Caenorhabditis elegans: one gene and its partners. The protein of the gene in region 3 interacts with the protein of the main gene of each other region in a pairwise test. Each region holds a gene or a part of one and is shown on either strand. Other genes may lie near its edges. The genes, in order: selt-1.1, R05G6.10 and add-1.

The links.
Region 1: the proteins of add-1 (region 3) and selt-1.1 interact in a two-hybrid assay, tested with the Caenorhabditis elegans proteins (one large-scale study listed by BioGRID).
Region 2: the proteins of add-1 (region 3) and R05G6.10 interact in a two-hybrid assay, tested with the Caenorhabditis elegans proteins (one large-scale study listed by BioGRID).

The regions. Positions count from the first base shown.
Region 1 is NC_003284.9:11,539,308-11,548,550, forward strand, and holds selt-1.1 (Thioredoxin reductase-like selenoprotein T homolog selt-1.1), read right to left. Parts: upstream 7,189-9,243; coding exon 7,122-7,188; intron 7,079-7,121; coding exon 6,979-7,078; intron 6,782-6,978; coding exon 6,674-6,781; intron 6,622-6,673; coding exon 6,498-6,621; intron 6,448-6,497; coding exon 6,103-6,447; 3' UTR 5,784-6,102; downstream 1-5,783. Other genes in the region: gcp-2.2 (N-acetylated-alpha-linked acidic dipeptidase 2), read left to right, coding at 1-106, 156-243, 292-473, 702-846, 890-1,003, 1,044-1,141, 1,198-1,316, 1,408-1,481 and 3 more.
Region 2 is NC_003282.8:7,537,587-7,547,931, forward strand, and holds the start of R05G6.10 (Ras-GEF domain-containing family member 1B), read right to left. Parts: upstream 4,950-10,345; coding exon 4,917-4,949; intron 4,675-4,916; exon of another isoform or gene 4,311-4,674; coding exon of another isoform or gene 4,179-4,310; intron 3,691-4,178; coding exon of another isoform or gene 3,537-3,690; intron 3,491-3,536; coding exon of another isoform or gene 3,301-3,490; intron 3,254-3,300; coding exon of another isoform or gene 3,154-3,253; intron 2,930-3,153; coding exon of another isoform or gene 2,827-2,929; intron 2,429-2,826; exon of another isoform or gene 2,408-2,428; intron 2,172-2,407; coding exon of another isoform or gene 2,113-2,171; exon of another isoform or gene 1,993-2,112; intron 1,339-1,992; exon of another isoform or gene 1,189-1,338; intron 902-1,188; exon of another isoform or gene 758-901; intron 1-757. Other genes in the region: R05G6.1 (Phospholipid scramblase), read left to right, coding at 2,113-2,171, 2,827-2,929, 3,154-3,253, 3,301-3,490, 3,537-3,690, 4,179-4,310; pam-1 (Puromycin-sensitive aminopeptidase), read right to left, coding at 6,554-6,640, 6,687-7,347, 7,394-8,322, 8,368-8,602, 8,679-9,317, 9,427-9,531; cdd-2 (Cytidine deaminase), read right to left, coding at 9,666-9,839, 9,885-10,066, 10,163-10,307.
Region 3 is NC_003284.9:4,852,060-4,865,271, forward strand, and holds add-1 (Adducin-related protein 1), read right to left. Parts: upstream 7,985-13,212; 5' UTR 7,978-7,984; coding exon 7,879-7,977; intron 7,643-7,878; coding exon 7,550-7,642; intron 7,477-7,549; coding exon 7,368-7,476; intron 7,046-7,367; coding exon 6,903-7,045; intron 6,784-6,902; exon of another isoform or gene 6,634-6,783; intron 6,508-6,633; coding exon 6,364-6,507; intron 6,316-6,363; coding exon 6,148-6,315; intron 5,802-6,147; coding exon 5,742-5,801; intron 5,685-5,741; coding exon 5,586-5,684; intron 5,282-5,585; coding exon 5,197-5,281; intron 5,142-5,196; coding exon 5,056-5,141; intron 4,995-5,055; coding exon 4,722-4,994; intron 4,178-4,721; coding exon 3,965-4,177; intron 3,916-3,964; coding exon 3,657-3,915; intron 3,363-3,656; coding exon 3,261-3,362; intron 3,153-3,260; coding exon 3,093-3,152; intron 2,997-3,092; coding exon 2,907-2,996; coding exon of another isoform or gene 2,833-2,906; intron 2,815-2,832; coding exon 2,771-2,814; intron 2,416-2,770; coding exon 2,344-2,415; and 4 more. Other genes in the region: F39C12.1 (GATOR2 complex protein MIO zinc-ribbon like domain-containing protein), read right to left, coding at 379-495, 542-738, 795-879, 951-1,006. UniProt on the Caenorhabditis elegans protein: Membrane-cytoskeleton-associated protein that promotes the assembly of the spectrin-actin network. Plays a role in time-dependent memmory loss and the retention of conditioned behavior over time.

The DNA of each region.
Region 1 (9,243 bases), 6.7 Mb from region 3:
GATGAAAAGAAAATACCTACCATTCCCATGCTCCCAATTACATATGCCACAGCACAAATATTATTTGAGAATATGAAAGGCGATGCAGTGAATGCAGATTTTCAAGGTTTCAAAGTGAAACTGTATATTTGTACAATACCAGCGTTTACATTTAGGAAAGTTAAATGTTACATATCGTTATGGACCTGGCTTGATAAACAATCAGAAACTTCGTGTTACCGTTCATGCTGAAAACGAAGAACGGTCAGTTATAGTTGTAGAATTGATAAGTAGATTGCGTTTGAATTTTAGAAAAATTCAAAATATAATGGGATATATCAAAGGAAGTCAGGAACCGGACAAGTTTGTTCTAGTGAGCAATCATTATGATGCTTGGACTTATGGGGCTGTTGATCCAAACAGTGGAACATCTACGCTTTTAGAAGTTTCCAGAGCGTTGAAACAATATCAAAATCAAACCGGCTGGATACCAGGTATTTTAAAAATGTTTCATCGCATCATTTCACTTGCTTTATTTGAGAAAAAATATGAACTAGAAACTCAGGCGATGTGAACAGACATGGTTTTTTAAGAGATATAATGTACATGAAACAGGGTGAGGATAAAATATGAATGATGTATAAAAACTTGTTGAGACATTGAAATAGCTTACTTTTTCTTTTTATTCAGAGAAGTAGAAACAATATATAATAAATTTTTAGCGCGATCAATTCTGTTCGCTCATTGGGATGCCGAGGAATATGGTCTGATAGGATCCACTGAGTTTGCGGAAGAATACCGTCTTCAATTAATGAGAAGAGCAGTTGCAGTTATTAATATGGATCTTATTGGTGGCAACCAGACTTTGTTAGCTCCGAGTATTGACTGAGTGGAAATTAAGATTTTGCAGACTTGGGTTATCGAATCCTACCGTCGCCAATGTTCTCCGGTCTGCAGCGGCAAATGTTGAGCAGCCAAATCCGACAGAAATGGAACAAGGGAGAAAAACACTATACGATTCCTGGTAATAAAAAATTTTGAATTGCATAACTAATAGTTTTAAGGAAATACTATGCGCCATCAAAGAACAATCGATCAACCCATCCTTATCAAAGAATCCCCGCTGGTGGAAGTGATCATCTTCCATTTTTTGATTATCTTGGTACGTTAGTTCATAAAACGACACATCGAAATCATTTACTATTGTTTAACTTACAGGAATCCCAATTGTCTTTTTCATCACTTCATCCCTAGATGCACCTCCAACTTATCCACTGTATCATACAATTTATGAAACACCATATCTGATTGAAAATATTATGGATCCTGGCTACAAGGTACAATGCAGTTTGAGACATTCATTGTAGGCTAAATATATCATTGCCGTTGTTGATAAACAAATTTTTGATTTTAAACAAAAAATTACAGGTTCATAAAGCCATTGCCGGGATGTTTATAGAATGCATTTTGAAGTTTACCGAGAGTAAAATCCTTCCTTATGAGTAAGAAAAATGTGTTTTGCAGCACTGAACATGTTGAAAATTTCAGTCTGAATGAACTTATGGATGACTCGATCTTTGAATATTTGCCAAAACTAGAAGATCGTCTAAATAAAACGTTAATGATTGGAACTAAGACTGATTATTTGCTGGATGCACAGAAACAGTTCAAACTGTTACAAAAAACAGTTTTGGTTTGTTTGAAATGCTTCCCAAACCAAACAAATATTATTTCAGGAACTTTCTGAGATCGTACAAAGAAGAAATGTCTCGAAACTTGAAGAGCTACCATTCGGCAGTAGAGTGGACATAAATAATCGGCTTATCGAGTAATGCAAATTGGAAAATAATTTTCGATTTTCAAAACTTTCAGATTTGAAAAATGTTTTATAAACCCACATGGGGCAATTGGAAATCCTCAAGCTCGACATGTATTGTTTCATCCAAGCCCTGATAATTGGTATGATGGAGATGCAATTTCACAAGTTCACGATTTGATATCAAAAATTAGCAATTCGACAGACAGCAAGGAGTTGGGAAAATTGTCGAGACAACTAGCAAAAGAAATTGCTCTAGTTAATGTTGCTTACATATGTGCCAAACATTCCCTCGGCGAATTTTTCACAATGTGATCACGTTTGATAGACTCTCAGAGTAATAATTATTTAAATGTCAACTTTTTAAAGTGTAAGGTGGAGTAGTGCAAGTGGGGAAAGTGTTTAAATGGTGAAAATGACCAAAAATAATTGCAAAACATTACAACAAAATTTTGGAATGTTTTTATTTACTGCAAAAAAATGATACCTACTCAGTTTTTGCCAGTGCGACATAAGTCTGGATTTGCTTGAAAGCTTACAGTTACAGAAATTTTTTAAAAACTCTTGAATTTTGGAGTGTTTTATTGCGATATTCAGACAAAATCCCCACTGGCGATGTTTACTATTTAACCAATAAATGTATTTTGAATACAGTAACGTTGAGAAAACTTGACATTAAAAAAACTCACAGAAAATTTCGAATTAGTTTTTCATTTGACCCGTTCGAATGTACATTCGTTCAAATTTCAACCAACACATTCCAACGGAAGTTTGATGCCTGTTCAAAAATCATGGACAGATTATTTTTTTAATCAGGAACGAGAGCATGTCGAACACATCTAACGCCGAAAACTAGTTTTTATCAGGAACTTCTGAATTAAATCCCTAAAATAATGTATTCTTACGAATAAATAATGAAACTATTTTTTAAACTCGTCGACTTTGCCAGTAATATTTGCATTTTATCAAAGCATATAAATATAACCTGGTAAACGAATCACTTTTCTATGATATAACGTTTTTCAAAAATCGAACATGAAAAAAGGATTACAAATATTCGGCGTTGTATTACTTCTAGCAGCGACAGTTGTTGTAACTGTACTCATTTCAAATTATGTACATCAGCTTTCAATGTCGAGTGGGACACCTACAATACAAAATACAGGTAAATTGAAGAGAGAAAAAAGTTTCCTATGGTTCTATCTGACTGCAAATGATTTATGAGACCACTTTGAAAAGTTTTTGAAGAGTTAATTGTATAGTATTTCAGTTTCAATCGCAAATAATATCAGACAGCTTATTAACACTGACAAAATTCGCTCCAATCTTCATTCGCTCACTAAAAAAGCTCATGTGGCCGGAACAGAAAACAACTTGCGAGTGGCTGAAATTATTCGAGATCAAATGATCTCTCAAGGTCTCGAAAATGTTCATTTTAACGAGTATAATGTGTTGCTATCATACCCTGATTGGACGACTCCCAACATTGTTGAAATACTCGAAGAAAATGGAGATGTATTTTATAAAACTACGGGACGGAGCATATCTATTATTGAAGAAGAACAGAATGATTTGGTTTCTGAAATACAATGGCTTGCATATTCGGCTGATGGAACAGTTGAAGGAGATATTGTTTATGTCAACAAAGGTACTCCAAAGGATATCGAGCATATAGAATCGTTGGGGATAGATCTGAAGGTTTATTCCTAGTATAAAAAGTATTAATACAGCAGAAAACTTTTTAGGACAAAATTGTTCTCGCTAGATACAGTTCTAACTTCCGTGGTAACATAGCTCAAATGGCCGTCAAAAAAGGAGCAAAAGCATGTCTTCTCTACTCAGACCCTATGCAAGTAGCAAGTCTTGGAACCGGACCAAGTGAGTTTTTCAAAATAATACAAGCAAACTTCAATCCGTTTTTTGTAATAGATAGTACATATGGAAGAACAGATAAGATGCCATCACATGCCGTTCAAAGAGGCACATGCTATGTTCAATCAGGAGACCCCAGATTGCCGGCATTCCCTTCTATAAAAAATCTCTTCAAAGAAAAATCAGAGCAAGAGGTTTTACAGATATTTAAATTATAAAAACGTAGTATTTTTCCAGTTGTTGGATGGAAAAAAGATCCCAACTATTCACTACTTCCAATTCCATATAGCGCAGCGCAAATTTTATTCGAAAAAATGAAAGGAGACGCCGTCATTGCAGATTTTCAAGGTTGTTTGAAATCTACATTTCCACCGAAATTACAAGTTACTTTTTTAGGAAAACTTGACGTCACATACCGATATGGTCCGGGACTGATAAATAATCAGAAACTTAGAGTAACTGTGCACGCTAAAAATGAGGAACGGTTTGTTTTTTATTAACTGGGCAGTTTTCGGATTTTATTTTAATCCTTAGAAAAATTCAAAACGTTCTTGGATATATAAAGGGAAGCCAAGAGCCGGATAAGTTTGTGCTAGTGGGAAATCATTATGATGCTTGGACGTACGGAGCAGTAGATCCAAACAGTGTCACATCGACCCTCTTGGAAGTAACCAGAGCATTAAAAGCATATCAAAATCTTACAGGATGGAGACCAGGTATTTTCAAACACTAAACAAGTTATGTATAATAGGATTTCGAATCACTTCCGTTATTAGAAAACATTTCAATATGTACACCCACGTGTTTAATATTATAACAGTTACTTTCACTCTTGTCCTGAAAATGGGTTTTTTAACGAGATCAATTCTGTTCGCTCATTGGGATGCTGAGGAATATGGTCTGATTGGGTCCACAGAGTTTGCAGAGGAGCATCGTACTCAGTTAATGAGAAGAGCTGTTGCATATATAAATACGGATATGATTGGAGGAAACCAGTCATTGTAAGTAGTGAAGTTAAAAAAGTATAATCTGAAACTTTGCTTTATCAGACTTGCTATGGCTAATCCTACAGTTGTTAATGTTCTTCGTGCAGCTGCAGCAAAAATTTCACATCCAAATCCGTTAGAAATAGAAAACGGAAGAGAGACACTATATGATTCTTGGTAGTAAAAAGTATGAAGAACAAACAATTATAATTGAATTCAGGAAAACATTTCTCCCTCACAAAACAATAATTCCTCACATCCATTTTACCAGCTTCCAGCAGGTGGCAGTGATCATTTGTCTTTCTTTAATTATTTGGGTTAGATTTTCAAAAAACCGAAATTTACAGAAAAACTAGTTCATGCAGGTATTCCGATGGTTTTCTTTGTCACATCATCATTGGACAGCCCGCCTGTTTATCCCCTCATATCATACAATTTACGAAACACCCTATTTGATAGACAATATTCTTGATCCAGAGTACAAGGCAATAAAATCCCAGAGTAAACCTCGACAATTATCATTTTTCAGATGCATAAAGCTATGGGCGAGATGTTAATTGAGTGCATTTTAAACTTTTCGGAAAGCAGAATTCTTCCTTATGAGTAAGCACTGCAATTTGCGTTTTCTACCAAGTAGAAATAATTTCAGCTTAAAAGAGTTAATGGACAGAGTTCTTGATGAGTATTTCCCGAGAATACAACAACACATTAATAAGGCTCAGACTTTTGAAAACATTTCTGAGTACTTGACTGAGCCCCAGAAACAGTTTGAACTGTTAGAAAAGACAGCAAAGGTATGCATGCTTATGAAAACTTCAATTTTCACATATTAGATTTTTCAGATTTGAAAAATGTTTCATAAACCCGCATGGTATCCTTGGAGATCCGCAGAGTCGTCATGTGCTCTTCCGCCCGAGTGCGGACAACTGGTATCGTGGAAACGCAATCTCTCAAGTACACAGCTTGATATCAAAAATGGAAACTTCAGTAGACGACGAAGAACTCTTAAAATATTCTAAGCAATTATCCAAGGAGATTGCTTTTGTAAATGTTGCATTCATTTGCGCGAAACATTCCTTAAACGAATTTTTTACTTTGTGATTTGTTTTTAAATAAACAAAACTAATACTCTAGTAAAAAATATTATTTCTGAAAAATTTCAAATGAAAAAACTGGTTTCAAAAATTTGATTCCTTAATGGTAAATAATTATTTAAAAAAAAACAAAACGTAACATTATTTGAATAGAAAATCATTAGAGGTGAAATAAAAGTGGCGAGAATTTTTATGACTGCAAATAATTTACACACGTTGAGAAACAAATAAAAAGTTAATTTAACTTAATAAAATAAGGCGTCGGATGACGAGTGAGGGAATGAATCAGTTTGAGCAGCAAGAATACATTGTAAATAATTATGGTAACACGGTGTCAAATTGAAAACATAGCGTTTTAGACAGTCTGTTGGAACTCTCCAAATGATTCTGTGTTGACAGGAGCTTTTCCGAGCACCGCAAGTTGAGCATCGATAAGTTGCATGAATTCCTGAGGGGATGGTACACGACCTGACTCGATTTTACTCCAGATTTGTTCATTGCCAAGGTAAACTTCGAATGCTCCAGTAGAAATGAGACTTTGTTCAACAAGGTTGCCGAGCATGAACACCAGCATACAGGACGACATCTTGTTTCCGTGTGCGTGCTGCAGAATCTGTGGGTATCCAAGACCAAATCTCTCAAATGGATTTATTCCACCTAGCACCAGCACGAGAACTGCCATTTTGACGAAACTGAGAGCCTAAAAATACATTTTATAAATAATCCAAGTCACTTCAAATTGAACAGTACCTGAGCAACATAAGCTTTCCAAAGAACCGGTGCAAAGTTGGCTCCTTCAATTGGCATATTTGGATACTTTTCTTTGGCAAAAGTGGTGAACTGGTCGAAAGCTTGCTTATAACCACATGAAACACTGAAAAATTATGCATAATTTCTAGTAGAACCTATATATGTATAAATATTACCAGTAGAAAATTCTCAATGTTGGAAGATCCTTGGCGTGGTGGACGGCTGTAGGCTTAACAAATGAGGATTGCTCCCGGACTTCAATATGATCTTCTTCGGTTCCTTGACTGAAAAAATTAAGTTTTGTAGCACTTGTTTGAAAAATTTCAGTTAACCTGTTGGAAACTAATTATCATGAACTTAGAAATTTTATTGAGCACCTTAGAAAGCTTGAAAAATTGAAAACGGTCATGCGTTAGATTTTCACTTTTTTGAAAATAAAATTGATTTTAATTTCACAATTCGACCTTTAAAAAAATAATACCTGAAGCTTTGTGAATCTGTTTCGTCTCCAAATTCTGCTTCAAAATCGTCCTTTTCATGTACGTGGTTCTCATCGTGTGAATGCTCTTCCGCTGAAACAGCTACTTGGGTTGTTTATTTCATTTATGATGTGTCACAACTTACTTCTCAGCACATCACAAACTGACATAAAGAAGAGAACTCCTATGATAAATACCCCAAACCGTGACATCTGAAAAATCAATAATGGCAAAAAAAACATCAAAACACTATAGAGAAGGAAATGAAATTTTTCATCATCTTTTTTGCAACAAAAAAAATTAGATAAAAATGTCAGAGAAGAACACATTTGATGAAGTGTTTTACACTAGAAAAAGCAAAGAAAGCGGACGCGCAGGAGAGTATGATATGACAGAAACACCCTCTCGACACACAAGCGGACAACACAGGGTATTCCAAACGAGCGCGCAGCACCAAGACCACTGCGGAGTCTCAGCGATCAATACTTGACTCGCCCGTAGCAAACGCGCCCCATCACTCGCCAGTGTCTGATGCCTCCGCGCCTCACACACTCTCTCGTTCTCTTTGAACGGTTCTCGGTGTGTGTATGCGTGTGTGTTTGGAGGACGTTGAGTCACCTCATATTCGCACACTCGCATAACCTTTAATTTTATGTGCACAGTCTTCTCTTTCCTTGTTTCTCATTTTAACTCGTTTTTTATTGTTCATTGGATATGATATGGGAGGAGTTGTTTTGATGTGATCAATACGCTACGTTATAGAATTAGTTTCTTTTTGAGATTCTTAATGGATTCTTGGTTTCCGTGAAGGTCAAACAGTCAAACACAAGAAATCGGTTTCCGAGAAAGTGAACTTTGTTGTCGTGCAATTGCAATATCTTATTGAGACTTTTTTACAATGAGTTAATTTCTTATTTTGGTACTTGTGTATTACATACTTTCATTTTAAAATTAATGAAAATGCTCATTGATTTCTCCGTTTAAATTGAACGTGATGTGGAATTTTCCTCGTTTGGCTCAGAAATGCTTATTTTCTAATTGTAAGCTTTAAAATATAAAAAAATTTCCACACTTTTTTATTTTTACAACTTAAAAATTACTTTAAAAATGAGTGCATGTAATACACAAGCAGTGTTTGCAAGTTTAAACTTCCTTTCAAAAAAAAATATGTATATCTTAATAAATGTTTTTCACCCCCAGTGTCTTAGAAAAATGTAATTGACCATTTCTCAAATCTAATGACAAACATCTTGCTTTTGCAATTCATCGTGGATTCTCATTATTTTTGAAAAGCATCTATCTTCTTTTCGTGCTAGCATCTCAATCTCAAAAAGTTACACCACCAACAATACGCATCTCACATTTGCCGAGGTGGAGTGGTGACAAACTAATTGAATCGCATCCGGATTCTTCCACTTCTCACTCCTGAAGGAAAACAAAAAAAAAAGGAACTTGCCCTTCTCATCCATCTTTTCCCCCAACCTAACCCATCTCACCTCAAATGCATTAGTTTTATGGGCTTTTACGACAGATATCAATGACTTGAAGAAGGAGGGGGAGTCACTACGTGTGTATGTGTATGTGTGTGGATGGCCTTTAGACACTAACATCCTCAGATGTTCTAAATTAACCGTCCGTACACTTTGCAATTTCTGGGGTCAGTGCCCACGACGCGTTTCCTCTGGCTCCACAATGACTCATCCGCAGATGTGTGAGGTCTCCCTTTCTCCGAGGTTTTCGTTTTTCAAATGCTCATTTGCATTCAAAACGATTCGTTCTTCACATTTTTCTTTCAATTCTCCAAATTTTCGGTTTTTGTTCCACGCTTTGTCATGTTTCTCTTTCATCACTTTGTTCGCTACCCATTTTAGGATTCTTTCCCCATTATTTTCTATTCTGCGTTTGTATTGTTCTAATGGCTTCATGCCACGTCACGCAACAACATCGTATTTTGCAATGACCCTGGAAAGGGCCTGCTTGGCATGACAGTATTCGGGTGCCAGCAACACCTGTTATCGAAACACTCATTATTTCAACCGATGCCCCCATGAGTCATGGGTATGAAAACGCCCTCTTCTTGAGTATTTCGTTTTGCTTTTTTTAACTTGTCTTCAGAAATACGTTCACCATTAGTGTTATTTCCTAAATTTTCGATTTAAATTTTGTTTCAATTTAGTTAGATTTTTTTTTGCTAATCTTATATTTGTAAAAACCTTTTTCTTCAAACTTTGTACTTTTCAGTTGCAGTAATCATTTCATAGCCATGA
Region 2 (10,345 bases), on a different chromosome or scaffold from region 3:
TTGGTGATTTAACTAATTATTTAATTGAAATTAAGAAAGTGCAGCAAAAAAGAGAAAATCAAGTGTACTTTAAAGTTAAAAATATTAGAGTATACGTTTTTGAAGAAACATATTGCCATGTCATAACCCTTATAAGTCTAGTATTTAGTATCAGCTCAAATTAGTTAAAGTTTAGTAGAATTCCGTATTAAAGCTTGGACTATTCCACAGCAGAAACTATCTCCTTTTTGCATAAAAAACTACTTTCCGTTTTGAAATAATCAAATATTCGTCGAAGTAGTTGAAATTTCATCCCATCCGATCTTCGTGCTCTACCTCATTCTGCTGATTTTCAAAATTTCGAAATTCTCTGGCATCTTCTATTTATTCGCATTCTATCCAACGTCACTATGCTCCGATTAGATCTAATCCCGTCACATTGTTCAACAATTTTGAGGTTAGGTGAACAAATTGAAAATTCACATCAAAGAAGAAAGGTTCGCTATTTTATATTAAAAATCAAGGAAACAGTAATATATTTGTTTGTCTTATTTCTTATTGCTTCATCAATCAGAGACCATCCCAATTGCTTCTCATTCCACCCTCGTAAACGTAAACATCCTTTTTTTCCTTCATCTTAATCTCGCTCAGTTTCCATTTTTGGAGAACAAGATTTTTAAGAGGATTTCAGAAAAAAAAAGACGAAAGTTCGTCATTTTTCTCCTTCTTCTTTACCAATATCACCATTCACTTAAATTTTCAATTGGAGTAGCATACACGAGATCACACGCAACTTCTTCCTCATCCTCTCCTTTTTCCACTCAATCCATTCGAGCCGGATTTAGTGAGGGCATGAAGGAGAATCATCACGCTAAGAAGGCAAAGTTCTGTGACCCAGAAAAGAACTTTTGAAAAGCTTCCGATCGAAATGAGCACTTCTCTCTCTTTTCTGGATCCAATTCTCCACCCATCATTACACCATTTGACAACTCTCAATTCAACAAAATACACACTCACACAGAAGCATACAAATTTAATTTGAAAAATGAAAAATGTCCGTTTGATTCTCGCCTTTTTTTGTCATATTTTATTCGCATGTTTTGCAACAAAACATTACAAAAAAGAAACAATTTCATTATGACGTCTAGAGCTTTGGCACTTTGAAATAATTATTCGATTACTTATAATTCTAAATGATCACTTTTTGATTTTAGATAATCAACTACTTTTCACAAAACTAGTTTGTGGAACACATTGAAAAAATCACCGATTTTCCTAATTTCTCTACGTGACTTAGGATTTATAAGTATGTAGTTTAATACACAGTTGATATTTAGCCAAATTTACATAACTCCTTTCTCGATTTGATGCACACTTTTTTGCGGAAAGAAACAGATTTCATTCTCGAACCAATGTTCTTCTTCAAATATACTACTTGATTTATTTTTTGAAAATTAAACAATTATGATATTGTTCCTTAAATGATTATGGACGCCACAAAAAACTAATTTGGAAAGTAAACTTCTTGCAATTTTCCGAGTCTTATCGGAAATTTGTTATAAATTTTTAGTGATATTCTACGATAATGATTATATTTTTCTTTGATATATATATTTCAAAAATGATAGTACTCCTAAACGTTTTGGACACTGGCACACTTCTTAGAATCAATTTTCTGAAAATTCAAATGAACTATATTTTAAGAAAACAACAAATCTTAATATTTATAAAATCAGGCTACTAACAAACACTCACTAGAGGACAATTTGATCTTTACTCCTAAAATTAATGAATTACTAATTCAACTTTTTAGTCTATCATTAAATTAAAAAAAGTATCAACACTCAATTTACCTCCCTCTTCTCATTAAAAAAACTTCCTTCATCCGCCTCTTCGTTCTCATAAATCGAGATATTCATAAATGTGAATGAATGAGAAAAGCAGTGTCTTTGAATAAATTTAAATAACTTATCAAATACATTTACGTCCTTATTCAGAAATTTTTCGTTACAGAAGCATCTGACAGCAAGTACCACTGCTGAAAAAGAGGCAAAAAGAGCAAAAAGGGAGTCGAAGAAGCAGAAGGAGAAGAATCAGAAAGCGGCTGAAAAGTCGAACAACGCTCCGGACGGAATGACCAATACTGGACGGAGAACTTCTTCAGTTACTGCACAAATATCGAGACAAGCAAGGTATGTAAAGCTACTAGATATAAATAAATTTTTAAAATAGCCATGTTAATCATTTCAAAGTGCTGATTGTAGACCTTTGACAATTTTTATGGTTTCTCAAAAAGTCTAAATTATCCAAATACCTGGCAAATTGCCTAAACTTGTTTTGCGTTTTTTATCTGATTTCATCGTGTTTAATTTATAAATATACTCTGTTTCACCCATTTTACGTATATATTATCGCGAATGCACCATAATGATAATGTTAAAAGTGCTGAAAAAACATGCTGAAAAAACCAAAATTCGTTGAAAAGATTTTCTCACTATCAGAAGCTATACTTTAAGTTTTAGAACAAACACGAATTTTGATAAAACAGAAAAAAAACAAGAAAATATTCAAAGTCAACCAGTTAAAATCCTTCAGAATTTTAACTTTTGGCAATTTTAAATACATAAATGAAATAAAATCTAGATAATGAAAACTGCCTACATATCTTCGAAAAAGGAAATAAAGATTTTTCATTCCAAGAAAGGCTCCGCCAAAAAAATGCACGAAAGGGGAAATGAGAAGCGCAAAAAAAGCGTTATTCTTTGTTCAAGTGCTCCTTTTCCAATTTCATTGCAAAAACTGATTCCTCAATTTTTCCACCCAAAAATAATGGAAAAAGTGTTGCAGACGCTTCTCAACAGCCATCGCACCGACACTCACCAAAATTGAAGCAGTTCACATTCTACAGAAATTAGATGAAGTTCGAGTGAAAATGAATGATGTGGCACAGGTTTGTTGAATGAAATAGAAAACTGGAAGAAAATGAAAAGAATTAATTTGTTCTGTTTTGTGTTCTGCAAAAAACCAGATATTAGAACAAGCAAGAGGACGGGACTGGATGGAGAATAATGACAGAGAATTAGATGAAGAAAAAAGAAAAGTTTCAACGGAAATTAGAACCAAATCCCTTAGATTAAATGTTTTAAAGACTTCAGTAAATTCCAATTTTTTCAGCTACAAGGAGCAATTGAACACTATGTGCTTCGAAACTCTGCACAGTTTGATCCTGTCGAATTGGATATTATCAACAAAGAAGGTTACAGAATCATGCAAGGTTAGAAGATAATCATAAAAACTATTTTAAAAAATTCAATTTTCCAGCAAGTGTCTATCCAGATGAGATAATTCTTCAAGAAGGCAGTAAAAAAATCTGTGAAATTACGTTAATCGACACTGAAGACACAAGTAGCATGCTTAAAATCAAGCATCCGGTTTCTGGAATGACAGTCTATGAACTTCGTGAACTCGGTGGAACCATTCTCATTCAAACAAACACTGATGAATTGAAAGGGTGAGATTCTAATAATGACTATTCTCATAAATTTTACCAACTTTAGGGCTCGAGTTATGACACAGACATCTGGATTGAGCAGTTTATTTTTAAACTGTGGTTGTGCATTTAGCAAAGAAACGTGGTCAGTGCTGACACAAGACAAGATTATGGCAAATGTTCGACCGAATCGTTCATTTTGGTCAGAGAATGAGATTAAGGTATGTTTCTTGAAACAGTAAATTAAATTATACCGTTTACAAAATTAATAATTAAATTAAACTTTTACTTACTGCTGATTCAGAATTTTTTAAAGCATTTTTAGCACTTAACTGTTTTAATCATATTTGCAACAAATATTTGAAGAGAGTGTAATTATTTTTAGATTTTTGGATCATACCATGTAGGTTTTTTAACTTGAATATAGTTGCATCTCTAGAACAAAAACTTTTACATTATAGTGTGACACGAAACCAATTTTGATCCTACCAATTTACTATTCAGTTACATACTTCAAAATTTGAAATATTTTCGAATAGGTATTTCAAAGCAATTTCCATATAAAAACCACACCAGCTTCTCTACAAACTTTTAATTTGATTTTGAGATTTTGGTTATTTTAGAAAATTTTCAAGTTTTACAAAACGCTGTTAGGGTCTTCAAAAAGGAAAAACAGAATGGTTTTATGATTAATTCTGAAAAATTGCAGATTCAATGGGATCCGAACTGTGAAAACGAACTTCGTCTAATCTCTCTCGTATTTGGAATTGGACAAATGGTTAGAGTGGCTTTTCCTCAATTATTCCACATTGTCAAAGAATTCCGCCAACGAAATCAATAATTAAATCCCTTCCTATCACGGTTAATTTCTCAAATATCATTCGTTTTTTCCTTTTTATGAAGCAGTTGTGCCAAGAAGATTTTTGTATGTATATTTTATCAACTGAAAGTCATCATATATTCTCGGGAGCTTTCTTTTTTTATCCATATAGTCTCTGATTTACCCAAAAGTATCTAAGATCAAAGTGCCTTTCTCAAAAAATTCTTCAACAATTTCAATCAGCGCAAATATTCAAATATTCTCCAATCATAATTTCAACAAAACGCAATCATTTTCTCATTATTTTGTAAAAATTTCGGGGATTCTTCATTTTTAATTGTATGTCACCAAATCTTCATTCTTAAATAAATAATTTGTGATTTGATCAGCATTTAGTTAATCTCGCCAGGAAACGGTATTTGATCTCAACACGAACGAAAAGTTTTAAATTAAAAAAAACCAACTACTGTACTGTACTTCAATTTTTATAGGCGCACACTCCATGTTGATAGCTTTCATAGAAAATTTTTAGTTTTGTCGAGACGAAGTTTTTTGGCTTTAAAAAAATTTTAATGTACTGCACAATTATGGATCTGAGTAGTAGAAAAGCTCCATTAAATAACTGACCTGATGCCAAAACTGAGTGACAGAAGACTTCATATGATTCAGCGGAAAAATCTGTAAAAGATGAAAAATTGGGGGGGGAGGAATTGAGGACGAAATAGACCGGAAATAACATGAATGACAATGCAGAAAATAGGCGACAACGGAAGATTCAAAATGACCAGAAAAGGGAGCAATTAGTAGAAGAATAGAAGGGAAAGAGCTAAAGAGAAAAAAAAGAAGAAGAAGAGCAAGTTCGAAAAAGGGACAGACGGATAAGATGGGGGGATCCCGTACACTAATCGTATTTCAAATGAGACTCCGAACGAATTCAATTTAAAGAGTTTGGAACAATGGGAAAGTGGGGAACATGGTGGTCAAATTATTCTTCTTATTTCAAAAACTATTTTGGCAACAAACAAGGGTGTTGGTGATTTCTTGGTGGAAATATGTATGCTTCTTTTTCTCCCTATCTTTCCATTTTAGTACGAAACCCCTTTGAGTTGTTTGTCATCATGTATCATTGGTGTTTTGAGAATGATGAACCTTCAATAATTTCTGAATTCGTATGATTTCATTCTAATATTTAATTAGTGTGCGACAGGAGTTGAAGAAAAATTCGATGTGCGGCAGAATGTTGACAATACTTGTTAGCGAATTCACAGTTTGCGTCTAAAATTGGAAAGAATTCAATGTTCAATAGAAACTTTAACAGTGTGTGTCAGAAAATTGACAATATGAGTCTGAAAGTAGACGAAAAAATAAAGAGGTTAATGTACGACAGAAAGTTGGAAATGTAGTCAATTGTGGTTCTTTTTGAAATAAAATCCCCATTGGTCTTATATTTTGAAAACTTTAATTTTGAAAGCTGGGATGTGAGTTGATTTTTCGAATTTTCCCGGCACTTGTACACAAAAGTTCCCAAAAGTTTATACATTCTGTATTATCCAAAAAGTTGTTTGATTATTAAAGTAAATTCGTATGATCTACAAAAACATCTAATGTATCAAAAAAGTATATAAAAGTGCAGCTATATTCGGCAACTGGTGGTCTTCTCTCTTTTTTCGTCGTCAGTTCTCCCACGAGACTTTAGAAATGCGACAGGAAATGCTCATCGAGCCAATCTCAGTAAGGCCAGTGAAAGGGTGTCATCCTCTGCTTTCACCACCCAAAAATGACAACACACAACTCGAATTACGAGCTCATGAGATTTCTAAAATGTTTCGTTTCTCTTGGGAGACTTGTTATTCGAGTTTTAAAAAATAGTCTCGATTATATTTGCGACCCACTTTTTTCCAATTTAAGAAAAAAAAATAGTTTCCAAAGAAAAGAGGTAGTAAATTGTACTGATGACCTTCACAATCGTCAACTCTAACTGATGGAACCTTCTTCCAAATGCATAATTCTTTCGTGGCCACATCGGATGGTGCCAGCTATTGAAAAATTCAGCACTTCAATTTAACCAAGTGCTCTTCTCATTCTAAAACTACACACTTCTCTCCTTTACGCATCAGCAGCAGTTTATTTCATTTGAAAAATAAAACAATACATAGTATTGTGCCATAAGCAAAATTGACGAGAGGGGGGAAAAATAAATAAAAACGGGTCTGAAATCTGATAAAACCAGTGGAATATGAATAGAAAGATTGAGGTCTAATAAATTAAACGTTGCTCTGTTTAAGAAGATTTTCAATGATTTGGCGGTTGGATTCGAGCAGGCGAGCGTTCAAACGGATAGCTTCGACGGTCTGAAATTTATGCTTTTTGAACAATTAAACTTGAAAAAATAAATACCTGTCCGATGGGTCTGGCCAAAGTCTGGCGATCCGTATCGCTGAGAACATTGCAATTGCAGAAGAAATCTTGAAACTCGACAGCTCGTTTTTCGTTTCCAAAACTTTCTCCAGCAAACTTGAGGCATCGCTGGAAGAGACTCGAGTTGGCACCTCCGTATTTGTCGAGGAACTCTTTAATGTGCTCGCAGAAATATTTCCACGCGTATTGCTGTCCCATATGAGTCGCTCCAGTTCCGAGGAAGAGATACAGCTGATCTTGTGGACGGACCTTGTTCTTCTCAAATCCATATTCGAAAAGTTGGGCAAGAAGTGACTCCTCCGGAGTTTGAGACATTGCTACCATGGTTTGTCTTTCGATCTCTTGGAATGTGGTAGTTTCACGGAGATTCATTAGCTTATCGAATCCTTCCTTTCCTCCATACCGAGCAACAACACCGAAAGTGGCTAGCCGAATGTCTGGATGAATTGGCGTTCCTTTCTCCAGGAAATCATTGAACATCTGAGTGAACTTGTCAATTGTTGGTTGATGACCTGCACGGGCGAGTCGTGCTTGAACAAGCGATCTCAACATCATTTTCTGCGAGTCTTCTCCAGCTTGTTCTGCGAATCCGAGCTCTGCCCCAGTCTGCTCGAACATCTTAACGACGAGTTGTTTAGCACTGAAATAATATACTGTCAATTAATTTTGAATCGCTAATATCAAACCTCTTCAAAGTGTCTTCGGACATTTCACGAGCACAAGCCAAGAGCTTGCTCATTCCTTCATCGATAGCTCCCCAGACAACATATTCATCTTCTTTTGCGGAAGAAGCTGCGACTTGAACAAACTGTGCGATGGAAACACGTCCGGTATTGAGAAGAGCAGAGAGATCATTAATCAATCCGAATCGATCGAGTACTGGCATTCGGCGAGAAGCGATATCGGGCAGCATTGCAGTTAGCATTTCATCCGAATATTCGACTCGGTAGAATCCAGTTGTTCCAGAGTTGAGCTTCACCCATTCTCCTGGAGCGACACCTTCAATCGTGAATTCTTGCTGCTTCTCCTTTAGCAAAAATCTGGCTTTCACATCACTTGGAGAACTTCCGACAGCAACTGTAATTGGCACTTGCCACTGGCTATTTTTCGGGTCTTCACCTCCATCGGAAATGAATCGACGTTGCTCCACGGTCAAAATGCGATTGTTACCATCTTGTCTCTGGGAGACCTTCAGCACAGGGAATCCCATTTGTTGGGTCCAACCGGACATCAATTCATTCACGTTTTGTCCTGAAGCCTCGCTCAGTGCGGTCCACAAATCTTGAGTAACTGCATTCGAATATTGGAATCTCTTCAAATAGAGGCGAAGTCCTTTTTGAAAAACTGGCTCCGATAGATAATAGCAGAGCATGCGGTTGACTGAATTGGATTTGGCGTAAGTGATCGAATCGTAAATCTCATCAAGCTCATTCGGATTATCAATTTCAACTTCGATTGGATGAGAGTTTCGAAGTGCATCAAGTCCCATTCCAGACGCGAGTTCATCATTCAGGAAATGAAGCCAGATCTTGAACTCTGGACAGTTAGCGCCAACGAACATGTATTCCATGAATGATGCAAATCCTTCTTTAAGCCAAAGATCAGTCCACCATTTCTGAAAAGAATGAATATATATGTTTATTAGTTGAAAATTCCCTACCATAGTCACAAGATTTCCGAACCATAAATGAGCCAACTCGTGAGCAACGACTAAAGCAACTCTAGACTTTTGTCTGGTGGACGTGACTCCTGGATCAACAAGAAGAGCGATTTCACGATACGTGACAAGTCCCCAGTTCTCCATCGCACCCATTGAGAAGTCCGGAATAGCAATCAGGTCACATTTTGGAAGAGGGTATTTGATGTCGAACCACTCATTGTACCAGTCAATGCACCTGAAAATTAGAAATTGAAACTTCATTTGAATTATTACTGAAAATTCAGCTAAAATTATTCTTTAAGATAACTCACTTCACAGAAAGATCCAAACTGTATTGACCTTGTTCTTTCTTTCCAGGTACAGTATACACACGCATCTCAACTCCGCTTTTCGTTTGTGCACTGATATATTCCAGCTCACCAACGGCGAAAGCGACGAGATACGATGACATCTTTGGTGAAGTTGCAAATGTAACTGCCTTTCTCTTTCCATCAGCAGTCGGTGTTTCGGAGATTACATTCATATTGGAGAGAGCGGTCAGATGATTTTCTACTTCCAAAGTAACGTCGAAAGTTGCCTTGTAAATTGGCTCATCGAAACATGGGAATGCATAGCGAGCATAAGTCGACTCAAACTGAGTTGAAGCCAAGAACTTTTCGGTGCCGTTCTTATCCTTGTACTGACTGCGATAAAATCCTCGCATCTTATCGTTCAGTTCACCGACAAACTTGAAGTCGAGCTGAACCTTCTGTGGCTGCATGGTAGTCGGAAGCTTGATAGTCAAAATATTGAGCTTATCGTCGTAGCTAGTTTCGAGAGATTTAGAAGCGTCTCCTGGCTGAGTGATAAGCGATACCGACTGAATCAGCAAACTCTGTGCATGCACCTTCAAGACATCAGTAGCTTCTTTGATTGTGACGTCAATCGTTGCATGACCATCGAAAGAGAATCTGAAAAACAAGAATTAGAACTTGAAGTGGTTTTGTTGCAAATTTAAACTACATATCAACATTTATTACTGCCGTCCTAGCTAAACTGAAATATTATTACAGAACTTACTGGTTGAGGCATGGCGATAAACGGACGTTGTAATGAGTTGGTTCGGCGAATGTTGGAAGCCTCTCAAATTTGACCGCCGCGCTTGGGTTTCCACAGGCCGCCATTCTGAAAAGTTTTATTAATAAAATGAATTTTTGACACAACTAAATTGAAAGAAAGAGAAGGATATCACAAATGAAAAAAAACACTACTAGGAATGGCGGGAAATGTGGAAAGGAGTTTCTGATTGGAATAAAAAATTAAGAGACGACTGTAACGTTATGCTCCGTGGCATCATCTTGCTTTAATCCTTTAGCTTCTGATGCTTTTTCTTGCTCAAAAGTGTCGAGCGATTCAGGAGTGAAAGCAAATGGAAGAAGAGCGCGAGTTGAGGTGATGAGAATTTTATTGTTAGATGCAGTTCCCACAACAACCTGCAACGATGACAGTGAAAAATTAAGAAGCTCTAGTTTTCTTACTTTATAGTCACCGAATTCAACTAGAAATTGACGGCAAAGTCCACAGGGAGACGCAGGTTCGCTGAGCTCAGTGACGACAGCAATGGCACGGAATTTCGTGTATCCTTGTGACACAGCAGAAACAATAGCACTACGCTCAGCGCAGATAGTGCCACCGTATGAAGCATTCTCGACATTGCAGCCTACAGAAAATGCTAGAAACTTCAAAAATGCATGTTGCGAAACTGAGAAGCCCGCAGACATCTCGAGTTATGCAACGACAAGAAATCACAAATTACCCTGGACAATTTCCCCAGATTCAGTGAGAAGCGCTGCACCAACTGGAAACTTGCTGTATGGGCAATGTGCCCGTTTCATCGCAGCTCGGGCCAAATGAACTAGTTCCACATCGGAAATATCTTGAGGAAGACTATTCGCGGCCATCTGTAGTTAACTATGACAAAAGTGCATGAAATGAGAAG
Region 3 (13,212 bases):
TTTATCACGATTTTTGGAATATGAATAGCTGTAAATCGAAAATAGGGTGCTTTCATGATAGGCAGGCACCCTAATGCCTACCTGCCGCCTTTTTCCTGCACTTTGGTGTCTATGCTCAAGTTTTTGATTGAATAATTTTAATAAATGTTGATGAAAATCACATTAAGAAAGTTTTGAAAAAAGTTCGTGTGTATTAGCATCAGGCTCGGGTAGGCGCGATGTCGGCAAACGTTGCTTTAAAAACAGGCAGGCAGGCGTCTTGGCGCCTATATGAAAGCCTTAGGGAAGACATAACTTATGCCGTTTCTTTTCGACTAATAGCTGATTTTTTTTCAATTCTACCCTTGCTCGAATCGCACATATTTGAATGCAACTTACACAGAAGAATCTGTTCTATGATTTACAGCAAGCATTCCTTTGTCGAGTCGTCCAACACGTAACCCGTAGATGGTTTCACCAGGCAATGAGCAAAGGTTTTGACCACTGATTTTGGTGCTGTAAAATTGATGATAAGTTGACAAACGTTCGATTCCGGACTCACAAGTTGATATCGTTAAAATTACTAATATACCGGGCAAGGCAAATGTCACCGGTATTTTTGGAATATGGAAAATAAGTGATATGTTCGTGAAAGTCGATTGCAGTCACAAATTCCTGTTTCGATTTGTCAGTCAGTTTATGTTTAAAATATGGTTCACTGCTACGAAACGCGTCCATCGGATGCATGATTTCGCGAACCTACAAAAAGATTAGGTATTGATTTTCTTCCATGTCATTATTTTTCGTTAACTCACCGACAAATGGTCCGTTGGGTCATATTCAACAATGATACGTTCACTGATAAAACGCATCTCACGTTTCAATCCGAATTCGTTGAATCTGAAACAAAATAAACGTTTCTAAACAGGTAAAATAACTCATTTTCTACTTCAAACCATGAAATAACTCACTCATTTGGACATATTTCTTTAAAAATGTCATCAAATCCAATGTCAGGATCAGTCATTGTCACACAACTGAAAAGGAAATTCTGGCTAGCAAAAAATTGAAGTTTAGTGAATAAAACTAAAAGAAACACATTAGAATATAAGGTTTGAAACACAAAGAGTGTCCAACTCTTTTATCTTCGAGTCGTATCTTCGGCCGCGGCCACGACCACTTGCGAGACAACGCTGCGATGGAAGAGACGCAGATGGATAGTCTAAACAACACAACAGAGAATGTATTAATGGCAATTTGCCGTCGAATGAGGCGACACTCAATGGGCAGACGTTAGTTTGTCGGAAGGGTTATGAAGGCAAATATTGTTATCAGCATGGTGCAGTGTCATGTTTGTTACCATAAAATTATCCGTAAATTAGTATTTTCATTAATTCAAAAAATCAAACTTTGAAACTAAAACTTGTTATTTCTACAAGAACAAACAATTTAAAAATCAAAATGTGTAAGATTCGTTGTGCCAAATAGTGGCCAAGAGCGCTGTGCATTTTTTTCTGCAATTCTACAGAATATGTCTAGGCGGTTTTTACCCTAAATGACAGTAAATAATCACAATGTTCCAAACATAACTGTAAAAAGTCATACAATGATCAAAATAATGTTTTTCAATTGTGCAAAGAAAAAAATAGAAGAAGACTGAACTTATTTTTTTTCCTGCACAAAATGATCTAGCTGTAACATTTTTCCGGCTAAATTCATTCATTAAAAATATTTAAAAGCCTGTTTTGTAGCATAATTTATCGAATTTTCAGACTTTTACAGGAAAGTTAATTTGATTACCCGAAGAAATTTGCTGAAACTAGAGTTGGTGTGGAAATCGATAATCTAACGTGTGTAAAAACTATCATATATTCCAAGGAAAGTGTCTGGAAAACGAGCACTTTGAGTTTTATAGCAACAACCAAAAATAAACTGGATAACTTTTTTAATCTGCTAAATTCGTTGAGAAAAGCTATTTTCGTAGTCACTTTGCCGAATTCTTCTCTGTCCTGGCTTTTTTTTGTAATATAATATAATTATTTATAGATGAAAGTATAAAAAACTTGATGGAAATGCAAATACATAATATAAAAAAAATATGCGTACAAAATGACATTTTAAAAATATTCGAAAAACAAAAGACAAAGCACAGAGTGTTGCTATTATCCATAACCGGAATTGAAAGTTCACGGGAAAGAAAGAAAAGTCCAGAGACTAGACATATGTTTCTTGACGGTAAATTGGGCGTAGTATATCCGGATCTGAAAATTGAAAAGAAAACATAGAAAAAGTTATCGAAAAGTGTTAGAGTTAAGTGATGTGAACGTGTTGGTGAGAGCAAGGTGAGAGCAAAACTCTCATTTTTCATTTGTCCTTTTTTCGCATAAATGACAAAAATCCTTTCTTTTTCTTCTTTTTCTCATCTTTTGTAGGCTTCTGAAATAAAAAACGGTGTAAAATAAGTGCTTGATTAGTCCCAAAAGCAGAGAAGTTAGCAAATATTTCAATCTTATTTGAAGGTAGAGTAGAGTCAGTGGGGTTTTGCCCAAAATAACAGAAAACAGTTTATATATAGAGAATACAACTGTAAAAAGTTTAATTTTTTCATTGAATTTTTTTAAAATTTTTCAGAAATTGTTAAAATATCAAAAAAAAACTTCTAATTTGAAAAAAAACATTATTAAAAATTTAATATATTACTTTATAGTTTTTCTGTTATTTATGGCAAGAAACCTCATTCTTTTTTAAGTTTGAAACATTTGAAAAACTATTTGCTTCCAAAAATTCTTACTTCTTCTTCAGACGCTGTAGTGCACGATCGAGACGTTGTATTGCCTAAATGTTACAACTCAGTTATTGATTAGTTAGCTGATGCGCTCGAAAAAAAAGTGAAAACACAAATAGACACCACGTAGTTACAAATATACCTTCACTTGTTCCTTGAGTCGACGAAAATCGCGTCATTTTAACTTTTTCAGGGTACTCTGTCGAAATTGACATCGGAGAAGGGTGATCGCCTGTACACAAAGAGTTAGAAAATCTGTGAAAGTTATAAAAAGCTTTGAAGCCACCACACACATGCTACACAGAAAGAATAAGGAAAATAAACCTACAATCGAACACAACTGACTGGCTCATGTACGACGTATTGACGCTTTCTTCGGAAGTTCGGACTGGAAATATGGAAAATAGGCATTCAAATAATTTAAAACACTGGAAAACAAAGCGATAGAAAACAGGCGCATCGATAAAATGTGAAGGAGCAACCACATAAAAATTACCATTATTCGGGGAGATTCCGGCATTCAGGCCGTCGTCAGATGCGCTCAGAGCCGCTTGAGAAAGTTTATGTTCTCGTACTCCTTGCATTAAGGAAACTGTATCTGGAATAATTTTTGAAAATCGGCTGGTTACAACTAGAGAAGCTATTTTTAGACCTTTGTCAGCAATATATTTTCAAAAATATATTTTGTAAGTGGAGCCAAAAAGAACATACTCAAAACAAGTGGCATCCCACAAGTGTTTTGAACCCCAGATTTTCAGTTAAAAACTCGCAACACAACATGGATTTTTTGCAGTGTTTATTTTATTTTATTACGTTTTAAATAAAGGAATTTCAGTTTTCGTTTTCAAAAACGACTTTAAAAATTGCTGTTTTTTTGTTTCAGCTACCTTACCAGCTTCAACCTCATCGTATTGAGAGTAACCACTTCTCGCTGAGACAGGAGCGCTTTGCGAGTTCTTGGCCTTCACCATGTCTACATATTTCTTGATGTCTGCATCAGTTTCTACAGAGAATGGATTCGGCGCATAGATTTGGTGGTACACCTGAGCATGATGCTGAAATTGCCTATCAATGATTCCCTTGCTGGCAGTTCCGATAAGTATTGCTCGGTCAGCGGTCGAGCTCTGTCCGACTGTTCCGTCATTATCAGGCTGAAAGATTACAAAATAATAAATGAATTTTCAAGACGGGATATTTCACTTTAATCAATAGTGCAATGTCTTCATATGTCACACTGTCCAAAATCTGGCTTTGTGGTCCAGCAGAAAGAGTTCCCAGTCTGTTGTTTTCTTTGATAGCTTTTTGTTTTTCTTTAAATTCTTTAGGATTTGAAGACGCAGGACTGAATTGATGAACACTGCTGATTTTGACAGGGGTTCCACTCGCGGATGGAACGTTGACGTCATGAACCCACTGAAATGATTTGAACTTGTGTAAATTTAAAACACTTTAAAATTAATTTTTTCTCCAATGATTTATCATAGATGTTTAATTTGAACTCAATAACCAAATGCGACCGAATTTTATAATGAGACTTCTCAAAAAACTTTAATACATATTTTTATTGCGGATCAAAATTTTCAAAACACAATTAGGCACAGCCTGAATCGATAGTTGGTATTGGAGCAATTTTGAACATTTTCTGACACTACTCCAATATTGAAAAATACATTTTTTTATTGCGTTAGCATAACATGTATTCATAATGTGCATAATGACAACAATCCAAAAATTAGTGACATAGAAATTATCCAAAACAAAAATTCACTAGTAGGGCCCACCCATATCATAGCTATTTGGGTTTTCAAATCTCTGTTTATAGTTTTTAATTTAATGTTTCTTCAAATTTTTTTGTACATTTATATGAAAATAACTGTGTAAACATAATGACACAAACCATCAGAAGTTCATGTACAAATTTTATTTTCGTACTGCAAAAGTTGAAAACAGTTCTTACTTTAGTTATCTTCTTTGGGTTATCTGCTCCATACTCCAAAAATTCAACCTTCTGATATGCATTTGGACTGTTCATCCAACGAACCCGCTCCTGCTCCTTGCGCAGTAAAGCCAGACGATGTGCAGATACACTTTCCAAGTTTGTTTCATCAATTTGTCCATAAGCTGATGTAGTTGGCGGAACAGCAACATCATTGTTGTTCACCATTGACGTAGACATTGCAGATTTGGGCCGCAGTTGTGGTTGACGATAGACGTGCCCGGTTTGAAAATTCTATAATTAGTAGCAATTTTTAGTGAAACAACTGTGAGCAGGGCGAAAAAATTCTGCTCACCGCATGATCCAACACTCTCATCCAAGACTCCCATTCTAATTCTCCGACTCTCCAATCAACTGTTCCATTTCGTTTCAGGGAATTCGCTACAAAAGCATTATAGATGTATTTTAAATTTCAATATATATTGCAGAATCTTACTATTTCGAGAATTTCTGAACGCTCTTTGTATTGCTTTCTCTTCCGGAATGATGAGGTTGTCAAGTCCAGCCCTTGCGGCACGTACCTTACAAAAATATTTTGTTTTTGGAAACTTTGATTATGTATTTTGTATTTGATATGAAATAATATTTCTCATTTATTATAACTTTTCTAAACCTGATGGTCACAAGCAGTGACTAAGTTGCGCATAATTATAGATGTCTCTTCAACGGAATTTCCAACAACAAAACATCCTTCTCCTCTGATCAGCAGAACCTTAAATGTTTTAATCCCATCGTCATTTCATAAAAAATAAGCATTTGGCGATAGAATTGAACTACTGGCGGCAGGGCAGCGTGTAATTTTTAAATATGAGAAACTTCAAAAACCTGAGTTTCGCATGCTATCACAGTGTTGTTGGCTAGAAAAGTGGCATGCTCGATAGTGTCACCGACAACAAGGAATCCTTGATTGCGGAGGAAAAGGACCTGAAACGAAGCATAGAAAAGCGGATAGAAAAGCAGTTCAAAGTAAAGCTAACGCACGTTTTTGTCTCCAAGATTTGCAATAATTTCGTCAAATTGAATATCATCATCACCAATGTCCTGAAAAGAAAATTCAACAATTTTTTTGATTTTATAGTTAAAGTCATGTGAAAGGTTAATGAAAATTTAAACCGTTCGAAGGTCGACGATGAACTTTTCTATATCTACTTTAAGTACTAAAACTACCGATTTACATGATAAACTTTTTCAAATTTTGGCAAAGTACCAAAACTTTGACTGGAAAAAAATCATCAAAAAATAATTTTAAAAAACGGTTGCCGATTTTGCTTCTAGTTTCTTTAACCTTCAGATTTTCAATTTTCTCTCGTTCACACTTAAATTTTTCAGATTATGAAAATAACCACACAAGTGATTGTTTTTCTTCAAATTCAATATTTTTGCTAACCTGATAATCGTGATATCCAACTGGCCCAAGCACCATTGCTTCCTTACATAGAGGCAATAAACCACATTTCATACTAGCCACAGCCGCCACAATTGCCGTGTGCATATGAAGAATGCATCTGACCATTGGGTGAGCTTTGTAAATTGCAGAATGAAGAAGAAACGCAGGCTTAACTTGATGAGTGCAAAAATAAGTCGTTTTTGATTTTAAAGGTACCTGGTTGACTCCAGCTTTCAGTGTCCCGCAATCCAGAATTTTTCCATTTTCATCTATCTTCACGATGGTCGCAGCAGTGATTTCATGGTAGAGAAGACCAAATGGATTCATCAGAAAAGTGTTATCCTCATCGTTGGTTCGATACTAAATCAATTTTGTTAAAATTCTTCTAGAAAGGTAAATATGGTGTTTTTACTTTTGTAGAAGTTTCATAGAAATATAATTTTAATACATTTTTTTAAACACGTCGTTAATGGACCTGCTAGTTAACTCACGTCGGAAAATAAAGTGGTGTGTAACCGGAACACAACACTGAACAAAAAAAATCCCAATTTAAAGCTGATTAATCCTTACATTTTGGCAGCTGTTTCAGAAGTTTCGTATTTTAATAAAGTTGAAATTCATACAATTTCTACACGCGTTGTATTTGCTATATTGTAAAATAAATTTGGTTGATTGCAAAATTTTACTTTAAACCACAGGTTCAAGTTTTAAATTTTTGTGGTAATTTTAAAAAGTCAATACTTCAAGCACCCTACCGAGATTTCGTTATGAATCCCTTGTGACCACTGGAACAGGTCAGCTAGTCGAAACAAGCATGCCAATTTGTTTCTCTGGATACGTTCCGCTTTTGAATACTTCTCGTTTCCACGAAGATCAGCAATTGCAATGGTGTTTCCACCTGAAACATAGATTACATGATTTATCGGAAATTGTCAACTTACAGAAGTTCAAGTTTGTAAAAATATTGCAATTTTGTTTATGCATGGGAATCTTAGATTTTTGATATTATAATACTTTACTAGAAAAACAAAAAAAGTATATCTACTTTTGTGTCACAAGGTTTCAGCATAGCTAAAATTCGTATAGGAAAGTTTTCTGCATTATAACATGTTGTAACTCCTCGTGTGAATAAGCATAAATCGAGTTTCTTTTGTCAAAATAAGGAAAAAAAACCAAGTTATCCGTTTTTCGAATACATTATTCCAAAATATAATACAAACCATATGTGTGAAGGTTGCCAAACGACATGTTTCCTTGTGGAACTGTGAGGTCCGAAAGTTTCTGGAGTACTTGCAAGTGATCCGGATCCGTACGTGCTGTATCACACTCCTAGATGTAAAATGTTTTGTACAAAATTACATTTATTGAAACAAAATAACGAGAAAAAAGACAAATTACAAACCTGACGAATAACTTCTTCTAGCTCGTGGCAGAATGATTTTGATTCAAGTATCTGTTGCACTCTTTTCCGTCTCTCCATCTCTGACAAATCCTCCTAAAATAGAGCATTTCTCATCCATCTTTTAAGCTGATTAAAGAGCGAGCACTCCTTTCTCTTCTTCTCTTGCATTTTCCATTCAATTTCCCAAGTCTTTTCAAAAAATGACACTGCGCTAATAATGGCAGGTTTCATTAATTGAAGTTCTTGGAAAAAGAGAAAAAAGAGAGCTGAGGAGGGAAAACTTGATGTGCTCTAGTTTTTTTTACGGAAAAACTTGGAGCAGCACTTACTTTGATTACTGCCGGTCTTTGCAAATCTTTGATATATTCAGGGTCATCTGGGTCTCGATAGTATGGACGTTCCCGTTCCTTCTCTTTTCTTCCAATCATCTGAAACTTTATTGAAGTTTAAGAAAATTGAAAATGAGATTGAAATATTGAAATTCAAGAAAAAATCACAAAGTTTAGAAAAGTAAACATTACTTTGCAAATATGAAAATGGGATGTAGTGTACAAATATGAATTTAAAAATAAAAATAATAAAATTATTCTAAATGTGCGATGATTTTCTGAATTATGTTTAAATTCCCGCGCAAATGGATGGCCTACTTTTGATATTGTCTTGTTTTCCTGTTTCATTATTGGTCTTTTAACGTTAAATTTCTGTTTGTCAAATTTTTAGACATTTTTTCAAGATGAAAAACTGTTATAAAGGTGTTAACAGTTGAACTTACTAAAGATTGAAATATCAAATTAAGTAAAAAAGGGTTCACAAGTTATCGGAAACTGTATTTACAAATAAGGATTTTTTAAGATATGCTAAATCGGATGTATACAATTTCATGAAAATAATTTGACATTTCTACTAGCACACAGCTTACACAAAGCTGTACTAAAAAGCATGAATTGATCGAAAAATAGTTCATTCAGCGTGAGACTATTCGATGGCGAGCCATCTGATTTGTATACAAAATTTGGTTATTGCATACCTCCTGCGTTATATAACATTTGCTCTACGGGTGGCACACTTGCCATGAGAAAGTGTATACATCTAATTACCTATGAAGCATGGCAAACGGTAATATTGAAAAATATTAATTGGAAATGTGAATTTGACCCTAAAATGTTTGTGGTTTTTGCGTCAGTCAAATTCTCCAACACACTACTTTTGTCTGCGATGGAAGCGATAAACGGCAAACAAGAATGAGAACCTTAAGGTATCCGCCTGTTGCGATAAAGTTCTTCTTATGTCAAATCTAATTTAAGGAATGAGGGAAGAAAAGGAAGACCGAAAAGAAACTCAAGTCTACATGTACTCTATTTTGGAGAAAGATAGAAAGAGGCGCCGAGCAGAAAACCCAAGACATTTTATTCAGGATGGTTAATCACAATGAAAAGAAAATGGAATAAATAGAATGCACTTGTCCGAGTGGTGCACAAGTAGGGTGGCTCAAATGAAAAAGAACGGTGAAGCAAAATGGAAGTGGAAATTTTCGAATTGAGCTAGGCCAATTAGTTTTGTGAGATTTCATTACTTTTTGGGAAAGTAACCATTTTTCCGCAAACAGAGTTTTATAACTCAAAATAAATTTGTCAAAATTTAAAAATCGGTTTGAACTTTTCAGATTAATTATTCCGATAAGATAATATTGCAGCACTACTACGAAATGCTGAAACAATATTTCTATTTAAAAATTCTAAGCTTTTTCAATAATTTGCGGTCAATGCAATTATTTATAATACCACTTACTGTAAAATTCTTAGTCTGAAATTTGAAATGCTTTAACTTTCAGAAACTTGAAATACTCTTCCAAAAAAACCCCAAACTGGTGTTTAACCAATGCGGCAACAATAGAAGAAACATGCCGAATTGCGATTAAATCTTATATCAAACACACACGCACACACACCTATGGTGACGATAGTAAAACAAACTATTTGTTTTAACCTTTTTGATTAAATAGATCTGATAAAAAGAACAAGTGGAGAAAACAGGAAAACAAAACATGTATCTCTCGCCCTTTTTCCTCACCTTGAATCAATTACCCTTCTTGGAGACTTTTATTGAGAAAAGTTAGGGAAGTAAATAGAAAGTGAGAAAAACGAAAGAATTGAAAAAAGATCGCTGCTGTCAATTGAGCGAAACAGAATCTTTATTCAAATCAAGGTTGTCTATCGGTTTCTGGAGACTCAAAAAGGCAGTGTTCATTTGTTGTGTATCTTTTGGCTTGGAGAAAAGACGAAACACGCCTTACGGTTCATTGAAAACACCGAATTTCGAAAGCTAAACTGTTTGCTATTCAAAACAAAAGCTCAACAACAGTGATATGATTTTTGAATTCAGTTTTGCGTGGAAAACCAAATAATCAAATAGGAAGTCAGAGAACGCTGAGAAAAAGAATCGATAAACTCGCTGCGTTACTGTACAATACTCGTTGCTCGAAACAGTTGTCATAAAAATTTGATGTGCCCGTAAGGCAAAGAGAGAATAAAACGTATTGAGAAGAAGAGAGTTTGGAAAGCGAGAAGTGGAAGAATATGAACAGGCAAACTTTTTCGGAACAAAACTATTCTGCAAAAAAGAGGAGCAGTACACAAGATGTGCTATCAGTTGTCATCTAGATAGTGCCATTTGGAGCATTTCGTAGCGACCGACAACACACACAAATAATGAGTTGAAGTGTGAAATGGGAGGCATGGAATAGAACATTTGTCAGACCATGCACCAGCCGCCCGATGGTCTATCTTACACGCACTCGAATTTGCATTTCGTTTAAAGAACCCAAGGCGGTCGGAGAGAGTGCGTTTGAATAATTAGATCGTCCAACAATAACATTGGCGAAACATGGATCCGGCAACAAAGAATCTTACAGTTTGTGGTTGTAAATATTTTTAAATCTTTGTGATCAGAGAATGATAGCTTCGAAGTTTCAATGAAAAAGTGCTTTTGAGGCGAACTCTGGAATTACTACATTTCCGCAAACATTATTACACCTTGTTACCGTATATTCTCTATTAGTGCTGCATCTCCAGTAGTACTGCAGTCTCTATTAGTGCTGCACCCCATTTTCTACTGAAAGAGTCACTCAATAGTTTTGACATTTTGGGGAGTGTTTTTTTTGTATATTTTTGAAGATTTCTAGTTAATTTACAAACATAATTGAATTATTGGGTCATTTTTGTTACAAAATTTCTCAATTTTAATGGATTTCTGCTTAAAAGATGAGCATTTGTGACTAAAAACTAGTGATCTCCAATTGAAAAAAGTCGTTCGAAAATTAGTACCGCAGTCTCTAATAGTGCTGCACTCAAAAAGGGCCTGGAAATTAGTGCTGCTTGCAGCACTAATAGAGAATATACGGTACTTTATTTTTGAGATGTTTGAAATGTTATATGTTCCTAAATAAAACAGAAATATGCATTTCATGTTTGCATAAACTCCAAAATTAAAGACATACCCGAGGGACTTTTTTTTTCTATAGAAAACCATAAAACTGGAAGTGTGAAAGATATGTCTGGTCCGACATCTACCGGGCCCCGCGCCGCACTGTGTTAACCCTGCAAAACTAGTCTAGGGAACCAGGTAAATGTCGGACCATACAATTTAGTCACTCTTCCTATTTTGAGACTTTCTCAAAAATTGTTTCTCAGAATGAACGTTTCCGAAATTTAGAAGTTTCTGCATGCACTTTTGTTGTGTTGAGATAAAGTTTTCGAAATTTTCGTGTTTTGTTTTGCTTTACATTTTCTTTATTTGAAAGTGCTGGAAATTCTTGCAGAAATGAAAGAAAGAAAAATTCAAATTTACAAAAATATATTTAAAGCTTGCATGCAGTACTAATTGAACGAAGGAATGGTAAGACGCCAATTATTGAGTTATTTAACAGAAGTAAGTAACGATTAGTGTACTTTTCTAATGAAACAAAAACTATAAGATAGATAGAAATAAAAGAAGCAACACCACAACCACACTTTCAGTTAGATGCCATGAGATCGTTTTGAAAGTAGATAATTGCGTTTAGAAATATGATCCTGTTGGCTAAAGCCAATAAGCATGGAGGGGTGCGAGGAGGGGACCAGAAAAATATTCCTTCTATCTTTTTTTGCTTGCAGAAAATTTTGAAGAACAAGGGCCAAATCTTTAAAGCAGGGGGAAGAGTGGAGAGGATGGGAGGGCAACGAGACAAAAATTCATGCACAACGAGCGAGAAAAGTCCCTTACGCGTGAAAAAAATGTGGAGCAACAAGGTCTTACCGAAAAAAGGCACTCCGAAAAAAACGGCATTTCAGCTGACGGGTGAAGATAGAATACGCAACAATCTATCAAGTTGTTCAGAAGAAGAAAAAAACGCTGATGCCCATTGGAAATGTGTTACGCGTTTACGCGTCTAACAGTCATCAAAACACGATAAACTCGAGATTGAGTGCTCAAAACGGATTTGTTGGAAAAATTGGGAGAAAAGTGGGGAAAAGTAACGGTGACCCAGATGCGGCAGTTTGAAAGATGTAGCCTAATGGAATTAGAGCAATCTTCTAGTAGTACGGAATTGGTCGCTTTAAAGTACGCAGTTAGTCTCTGCAGAACTAAAAGACAAAAAGAGGCACGAATCTCGGAGAAGACACAAGAAGGGCCCCTCCTCTTAAGACAACACAATTTTTTTGGAACAACGGAACTTGTTGCTGGCAATAATGATTGTAGAAAATCTCTAATTTATGAGCATGTAACACATTGACGTGCTCGTAAAAGCAACAAGTATACCACCAAAGCAGCAGATAATGCCAGTTGACTCCAGATGACAAATCGGTGTCGTGAAGTCGCGGCAATCCCCCAGAGCAAATGCCGCATCTTTTCAAACACTTACCAATGTGCGCTCCAAATTTGATGAATTAGCTATTTGGCGTATATTCGAAACTGGAGAATGTTCACTTTGCCGTTTTTTGTTGTTTTAATTTTATGTCAGAAGTCTGTAGATTCTGAGTGAGTGAATGAGTTGTAAAACTTTTACATCAATGAACTTCTATGTAATCTGGATGCGGATTTAGTATATTTTGAGTAACATTTTTGTTTTTTTGTACTTCCTTTTTTCTCAATTTTCGTAATCTCTTTTCATATGATTTTTTATAACACGTCACAATTGTTTCATTGCAAACTACAGATTCATATTGTGAGTTTCTATTCAATAACGACAAAAACATTTTCCAAACAGATGCCCTAAATTTTGACACTTTTTGCTTCACTTCTGCTCATAAAAAACACCTTGTAACCTGATTTTGAATTTTGTTGGGAACTTGTGAATTATTGAAACCTTCGGAAGTTTTTGGCAATCGACGAAGTCTGCAATTCTTCTGAAAGTGTCAAAAAATAATTTTTTTTTGATTTGAAGTGTATTTCAAAAATCTAAAAAAAAACGGTGACAGCAAAATACACGTTTTACGTTTTATTTTCGACAATTCTTATATCCTTATATCCATATATCCATTGGCAGATTTGGGAACTCCTGGTTGTAAAATATCTGGAAAAAAGAAAATTCTGCCAAAATTGCTAAAATTGTGTGAGGGTATATTACTTCTTAGAAATCGTACCCCGAATGTTTCTATAACATCCTAATAATTATTTCTTTGTCA